2 linked regions of the Saccharomyces cerevisiae S288C genome follow. The protein of the gene in region 2 binds, or shares a complex with, the protein of the main gene of each other region. Each region holds a gene or a part of one and is shown on either strand. Other genes may lie near its edges. A codon is read from its position in the direction of its gene.

The links.
Region 1: the proteins of PCL10 (region 2) and PHO85 are in contact, whole or in part, in a crystal structure (PDB 4KRD), measured with the Saccharomyces cerevisiae proteins. Residues at the interface, in NP_011381.1 of Saccharomyces cerevisiae: Val257 (codon at 1,055), Glu296 (codon at 938), Glu322 (codon at 860), Gln324 (codon at 854), Thr326 (codon at 848), Leu369 (codon at 719), Lys372 (codon at 710), Leu373 (codon at 707), Leu374 (codon at 704), Glu375 (codon at 701), Asp376 (codon at 698), Phe377 (codon at 695), His381 (codon at 683), Lys392 (codon at 650), Arg393 (codon at 647), Thr396 (codon at 638), Glu399 (codon at 629), Val400 (codon at 626), Leu403 (codon at 617), Ile404 (codon at 614), Cys407 (codon at 605), Asn408 (codon at 602), Thr409 (codon at 599), Lys410 (codon at 596), Leu411 (codon at 593), Met412 (codon at 590), Val413 (codon at 587), Ser414 (codon at 584), Asn415 (codon at 581), Lys417 (codon at 575); in NP_015294.1 of Saccharomyces cerevisiae: Leu40 (codon at 1,626), Asp41 (codon at 1,623), Ser42 (codon at 1,620), Glu43 (codon at 1,617), Glu44 (codon at 1,614), Gly45 (codon at 1,611), Thr46 (codon at 1,608), Ser48 (codon at 1,602), Ile51 (codon at 1,593), Arg52 (codon at 1,590), Ile54 (codon at 1,584), Ser55 (codon at 1,581), Leu56 (codon at 1,578), Met57 (codon at 1,575), Lys58 (codon at 1,572), Glu59 (codon at 1,569), Leu60 (codon at 1,566), Val71 (codon at 1,533), His73 (codon at 1,527), Leu78 (codon at 1,512), Asn127 (codon at 1,365), Lys128 (codon at 1,362), Ile129 (codon at 1,359), Arg132 (codon at 1,350), Arg156 (codon at 1,278), Ala157 (codon at 1,275), Gly159 (codon at 1,269), Ile160 (codon at 1,266), Pro161 (codon at 1,263), Val162 (codon at 1,260).

What each region holds. Positions count from the first base shown.
Region 1 is NC_001148.4:491,193-494,825, forward strand, and holds PHO85 (cyclin-dependent serine/threonine-protein kinase PHO85), read right to left. Parts: upstream 1,846-3,633; coding exon 1,829-1,845; intron 1,727-1,828; coding exon 826-1,726; downstream 1-825. Other genes in the region: SVL3 (Svl3p), read right to left, coding at 1-172; TRM44 (tRNA (uracil) methyltransferase), read left to right, coding at 2,351-3,633.
Region 2 is NC_001139.9:253,540-257,485, reverse strand, and holds PCL10 (Pcl10p), read right to left. Parts: upstream 1,824-3,946; coding exon 522-1,823; downstream 1-521. Other genes in the region: 60S ribosomal protein uL1 RPL1B, read right to left, coding at 2,192-2,845; MRM2 (21S rRNA (uridine2791-2'-O) methyltransferase), read left to right, coding at 3,627-3,946. UniProt on the Saccharomyces cerevisiae protein: Cyclin partner of the cyclin-dependent kinase (CDK) PHO85. Together with cyclin PCL8, negatively controls glycogen accumulation under favorable growth conditions.

The sequences.
Region 1 (3,633 bases), on a different chromosome or scaffold from region 2:
CCAATTCGAACCGGTCTTTGCCGTAGTATTCAGTTTCAATTTCAAATTGACATGATTTTGAATCGTTGACGTGGTAGAGGTCTATATTCTTGGCCAGTTGAAACCTTGAGGTGTAGAACAAGATATTCGGGTTGTTCCCAATAGCTAAAACTCGAAGTGAGGAAGACGACATAACTATAACGTGTGTGAGGGCGAGCAAAGCAATTAAACGAAATTGATCTTATTGGTGAGCGTCAGACTGCTGGAGTTGTGTGTTATAAAATGAAAGAAAAAAAAAAGGAAGTAAAACCAGGGAACGAACCGATAACTATTTCTCCCCTTTCTGTTTGTTCTTGGTTTTGCTTGCTTTGTTCTGATCAAGACCAAAAATAGCTGGGTGGCTACGAATAAGAAGGCCAAGATTAGAAGTGTGTTACTCTCACTAATTGACTGTTTAAAAATAAATAAACAAACAGGTTCAAAGAAACGAGAATAAACAAACAACGAACGCCAACGGAAAGAACCGACGTTGTGTTTGCGTTTACGTTCTGCTCTCTCACTTGACACAACACGAAGACCGAAAACAGCTTGGGAAGCATTCACCGATCGTTATTCGAGAGGTTTCCAGTTTCCTTTTTTTTTTTTTTCACTCGCGGTATAAACGAATGAAAAAAAATAAAAAATTTTCATGTTTTTCCGTTCCGGAAGACAAAGCCTGTCCGCCTTTAAGGCGGTAAAAGCCGTCGTAAAGGCTGTCGTAAGATGAGACTAAAGTAATAGTAGTGTATTATAGATGATTATTATCATTATATATACATGGCTACGGTTTTTCGCTGACGGGCTGCGTTATGAAGCGTGGTGGTAGTACTCTGCAAACCAAGGGTGATGCAGAGCCTGCTTGGCGCTCAGCCTCATATCCGGATTAAGTTGCAAGAGTCCGTGTAAGAAATCCATGAGATTCCCGTCTAGCGGTTCTTTGGTGTGTGGTTGCAATACTTGACGTAGGTCTCTTGGTGGTCGTTGCTGGATATTTGGGTTGTATTTGGGTAACTTTGTTACACTGGGCCATAGGGACTCATTAGGAGTGCCCATGATGTCGAAGATCAATTTCAGTTGTTCTTCGTCGTTGGTGCCAGGAAACAAAGGCTTACCCGTTATCATTTCCGCAAGAATGCACCCACACGACCATATATCAATGGATGTGGAGTACGTCCTAGAACCCATTAGCACATCAGGAGCACGGTACCACAACGTTACGACTTCGCTTGAAAATGTGTTGACCGGAATACCGAAAGCACGGGCCAGACCGAAATCACCCAATTTCAACTGGCCTCTCTTGTTGATTAATAGGTTTTGAGGTTTTAAATCACGGTGGAGAATCTTGTTTTCATGGCAAAAGGCCAGCCCTTGCAGTAGTTGCCACTGGAAGTATTTAACCAAGTTTAGTTCTAGCCCTCTTGGTGTGTTGCCCACGGTGCGGGAATCCATGTATTTCTTTAAATCGTTGTCCATGAATTCAAAAACCAAAGTCAACTTGTTCTCTGTGTGAATAACGTCATAAAGTCTAACAATGTTCTCATGTTTCAATTCTTTCATTAGGGAGATCTCACGGATGGCCGTAGAGGGTGTACCTTCCTCTGAATCCAGTTTTACCTCTTTCAGGGCAACATATACCCCTGTGGTTTTGTTCAGTCCCTTGTACACTGTGGCATACGTACCATTGCCAAGCTTTTCTAACTGCTTAAATCTGTTCATAGAGCTCGAGGTTGATTTTTTCTCGTATATATGTTAGTATTCATCATTTCTAGTTCTTTACTTTCCAATGATACTTGACTAGAAAACTACATACTGTGAAGAAGAAGACATTGGTATTGCTCAAGTTTGCCCAGTTTGCCGCGCTATATATCCCTTATCTGCAATTATACGCTATATGGTAAAACTGGATTCCCTTTGTTATCTTTCAATTAGAAAGCTACGGGCTTACGAGTCTACGTGTATGGTGATTTGTACGGAAAATGAACTGCACACAGAGGACAAGCAAAGGGTCTAGGATAGATAGAAGTAGCGCATCCGGCCTGTCTATCCCTCCGTGTCTATCAATTCATTTAACGTGTCTGGACGGACTATGGTAACTACTTTTTGCGTTTTTGCACCTTCTTCCTGTTTTTTTGGTTTTAGTAGTGCACTTATTCTTCACTTTTTTGCTCTGCATTGTTAAAAATTTCATTTTTTGCATTTTGGAAAACCCGATGACATTATTCTTTGAAATAAACCATATCATTTAGAAAATGCGATTTCCATTACGCAAGATAGACAACGCATTTGGTCCGATTATATTGCTATCTTGTGATACTTCTCCTTTCTCTCAACAATGACTGGCGACGGTAGTGCACATATTTCTAAAAACAATCAAAATCAACACAAAGATCGCTTCAAGTTTATTGTGAATGATAAAAGTATTCTAGGACCTCAATGGTTAAGCCTTTACCAAACGGATGGGAAAGTAACATTCGCAAAGTCCCACTTCGAGCAAGCAATGATGAACGTTATTAGAGAACCAAATATTAACTCTACTGTCATATTAAGAGCGGATATTTTGAAAGAGATCAATCATGCTGCAGAAGCTGGGTCTGAGCCAAAATTTGACGAGTCCGTATTAAAAAAGTTTGAGATCGATAATGGTAATGAAAGCGGTGAAGAAGATGTCAAGAAGATAAATATTGAAGATTTAAACATAAGGTCGTGTGAAACATCTGAGAGTTTAAAATTGTCACCCGTTCATGAATTTGTAAGAAGGATCATTCCTAGGAATTTTTACAAAGATGCTATCATAAACCAAACATGTTTAATCCTAAATAGCAAAGACCCTAATTTTCAGGAGACCTCATTGATTGTATATACGCCGCACATTAACTCTGAGAAAGACTGTCCGTTTTATATTCCAAGAACGCAAAGTGTAGGCATTTTGTTACACCAGTCAGTTCTTTCTGTACACTACATTCCCTTCCCCGAGGATAAAACTGCCTTTACAGATGAATCTGAGCGTGTTGTAAGAACCGCTTATAGGTTATTACAAACTGCTAACAAACACTCAAAGGGTGTGATGCAGGGTTATGAAAAGAGGGTCAATCACGATCAAGTGGTAAATAAAGTCAATTTTCAGAACACATACATTGTTTTGAAGAAAAAATACTCCAAGTTCCTGGTGGAGAATTGGGCAGAGTCTACAGACCCAAAAAAACATGTTTTTGAAGACATAGCCATTGCCGCTTTCCTGATTGAATTATGGATTAAAGTGTACGGTCCAGACTTCCGTTCAAAAATGCAATTTAGAGATTTGGGATGCGGCAATGGTGCTCTTTGTTATATTTTACTGAGTGAAAGTATTAAAGGTCTCGGCATAGATGCAAGGAAGCGCAAATCGTGGTCTATCTACCCGCCTGAAGTGCAATCATCGTTAAAGGAGCAAGTTATAATACCTTCTATCCTTTTAAGACCCCATCCTGCTTTGAAAAGACAAGTACCTCATTTGGAACACAATGGGAGATTTTTCCCAGTCAAGGTGACGCACGAAGTGATTGCCCCCGCAACCGTCGTGTATTCAAGTGAGGACTTACTAAAATCTCCGCAGGTCAATACAGCAGAGTTCCCACC
Region 2 (3,946 bases):
CAAAGAAAAGAAGAAGAGCAAGAAAGAGGATTTTTCTGATCGGTATTATCCTTTTTATTTTTTTTCTATTTCTACACTTTTTTTCCTCTATAATTTTCCTTTATTATTTTTCATTTCGGGTTTTCTCACCACGTTAAAAATGGATAATAAACTTAAAAGAAATAAAACCATGAAATATTTCTATTTTAAGGTTAGACAATACAGAAGGGACAGAGAAAGATGTGTAGGCAAATATACATTTGTTTGAACCATAGATTCAACAGTAATTTAATGCGAGTAAAAAAATCACATTTTTATGTGCGTTTCGAGAGCATCAATTAAGAATCCGGGATAACTGTTGGGAAGCTCTGAAGTTTTCTCCAATATCGAGTACAGGTTTCCACCATTGCACGGAAATATAAACAGACTAAGTTTGTCGTTGTTTTATTGAGAAATTGTTTGTATCATATTACCAGTGCCGCTATTGACTGGAAAGCATTCGTTACGTTCGTTAAAATAATTATCTAAAATACTTGTATCAACTATACACAGAAGGACCGTAGTTCATTCAAAAGTAATTTGGAGGCGGCTAATTTCCTGTTACTGACCATTAATTTAGTATTGCACACACAGATCAATAGACTGACTTCTAATTTAGTCAAAAGCCGTTTCGAAATACCGCATACTTTACTAAAATATTCATGTGAGTGAACGAAATCTTCCAATAATTTCGTGCTCAATCTAACCGCTGCTATTATCATTCGATGGACCTCCTTTTCCTGTAAGTTTAACTTCAACTGCAAAATGTTATTGCCATCCCTTGTTAAAAACAACGTGTCAATTAAAAATGTTGCCACAAGGTAAACAGTTGGCTGGTACTCACATTTGTCTTGGATTCTCTTGAGAAAATCTGCTGATGATAAGGTGGGTTTACTTTTCATGTAGAAATTCGAGTATTCTTTTTTCTCCACTCTAGTATTGAAACCGGTACACTTTCTATTGCCACTAAGTTTTAGTAGTAGTTCTATGGTTTCCTTGAAATTCGCCAGAGCTTCATCAACCGATATGTGGGGCACTTCTACATCAACCGGTATGCCATGTAGCAACGGGTTTTCACTTTCGGACTTAGTTTTTTCTTGATCTTCTTCTTCATCGTGTGGTAGACTGATATGCAACCCTCCCATATCAAAGCTTGTAATGCTGCTACATTCAGAAAAAATGGAGTCATCAATATCTTGCTCCTCCACATCCGTAGCATCGCCAATTTCGAAACTGGCAGTTGGAGATTTGAAGAGTGGTGATCTACGGCGAGGTATGCTTAGCCCGTTTTGTTGATGGAAAAGATCTTTATCAAAAATAGAACTTGTGCAACCCGTGGTATCCTCTAGCTCATCATCACTTAGTTCAAAATTGGACGTTGAGCTAAAATTAGTGCCATTAATACACGCGCTCGAATCATCACCCATGGAACTATATAATCCTTTCCCTCCATTCAATAGCCCCACCTGAAAATTGTTTATGTTCTCTATATTCTGCGCCAAATAATTATTCATTTCATTAGCGGATTCCAACAGTTGCTCTACATGTATTCTATTTTTTGAACTATCTGTTGTACCGCATGGCTGTGCTTTCTCAGTCTTGCCTTCTGCAAGACCAGGCGTATTTGATCTAGACTGGTCCCATTCACTTGTTAAATCTGAGAAATTCTCACTCTGTAAAAACTTTGGTTTCAAAGGTAATTCGAACGAAGCGTTATAATCGTCCACAATTCCCAAACTGACTGGACGTATATCACCATCATCAAACTCCTCTGTGTCAGTGGTGTGGTTTTTAGTCATGTCCATTTTGCAAGTAATCTATTTGCGCATGGAATACCTATATTATGCGAGTCGAAGATTATATAATAGCAGGTATGGTTGAACTGATTGAACACCAAAGCATATCGATCTGTGAAATTCACTCAACATGCTTTTAAAGTAAGGCAAGTTCTAAGTGATTTCCTACAAAACATCGCTGAGAAAGGAAAGAAAAATGGCATGATATGGAGTAAGAATCGGATCGGTGCAATATACTCCGAGCTTCCCGAAAAGATATATTCCGGGCCCAAAAATATCTGGCTAAAACTATGCATAATACTTTTACTACTTAGAGTCATACGTATTAAAAAAGGTATTTAAAAAGATGGAGATATGTATTAATCGCTCGGAAGTGATTAGTACAATCTGAAAGCTGGACCCATGGAGGACTTAACAACCAAGGAACCAACATTTTGCCAGTTCTTCTTCAACAAAGAAACAAAGAAGTTAACAGACATCAAGATTTGGTTAACCAAAACGTCTTCTTCCATTTCAACGTTACCAACGGCAACAGCCAAACACAAGACCTTCTTCAATTGGAACTTGATGGTAGATCTGACATCAGTGACCTTACCGTACAAGTCATCGTTGTGAGAAACTGGGGTTGGGAACTTACCAGCCTTGGACAATTGAGGACCCAATAGTCTTGGAACTTGCTTGATCAAAACTTCGGAAGCAATGAAAGCGTTGTACTTCTTAGACAACTTCTTGATTAACTTCTTGTTCTTGTTCAACTTCTTCAAGTCATCGACGGACATAGCGTCAACACCGCAAGACTTAGCTCTGTCAACATCGAAAGCATCACCGAAGATACAGATGGACATGTTTGGTCTTGGACAGTTTGGCAACTTCAAAGAACCAGAGAAACGCTTGTCTCTTTGAGGGTCATAGTTCTTCAAACCGACTTGTAGTTCGACGGTTTCCAAGAAGTTTCTCTTCTTGGTTTCGTTGGAATACTTCAACAATTCCTTGACGTGTTCTCTGACTTGAGAAGAGGTGATCTTAGACATTTTATGATATGTAATTAGTCTTCCAAAGTATTTGGTGGTCCGTGAGGCTTGCGACTAGTTCTATGGAGTCTTTCCTGAAACTTCAAGAGGTTACCAAATAACGTAATGCTCAAGAAGTGCTGCGAAGATGTACTTACATATCTTAATCCAAATACAACACTCTTCCCATTGATTGCGTCTTTCTTCCTCGGACTTTCCAATCTGAGGCCAAAAGATGTCTATGGCATTATTGTGTGCGAAAAAAAAGTTTCAGGAAAAAAAAACTTTAAATATTTGAGGTTGCACCCGTGCATATTGAAAGATGTATGGGTTCAAAAATGTCCGTATTCAACTTTTGCCAAAAGCTGATAGCTGTTTGGCCTTATGAGGTAAGGTTTATGAACGCAGTCTTCTTCATTGCGATCTAAAAGTTGATATGTTAATGGAGATAATGGTAGAGTAAACTGAATTTTTTACAGTCCCCTTTCTTGAAATTAAGCAAGTTATTTAGCTAACTTACATACCATCTTCATGTATCGTTTTTGATTTTTCAGTTCTTTTTTAAAAAAGAAGATCAAGTAATTTGTTCTAATCAAAGAAGAAGGTTCAATACCGTTTCTCTGGTATTTGTAAGATCTCTTTTACTGGCGTTCTTTTAAAAATGATCAGGTCCGGTTAAAGGGCGTCTCCGTCAATGAGAGAAAAATGTCAGCCTCTGATATAGATGGAAGTCGTAGCCATCAAGATGGGCTTATCCGAGGTTTGAAGTAATGACTACACATACTGACGGGAAAATTACAGCATGATTTTAGTGTACAATCGTATCAGGAGTATAATATCGTCTTCTTTAGGTCGAATACATGTACGGTATAATTCTAACTCACAAAACAGATGGCTGAATAGACAACTGAAGGATCCCTACACAAAAGAGGCCAAGGTCCAAAATCTGAGGTCTAGAGCCGCATTCAAGCTTATGCAGATTGATGATAAATATCGGCTTTTTAGCAAAAACAGGACCGATCAGAGAATTCTAGATCTTGGGTATGCCCCTGGGGCTTGGTCCCAAGTAGCACGGCAAAGAAGTTCACCTAATTCAATGATACTGGGCGTTGACATTCTCCC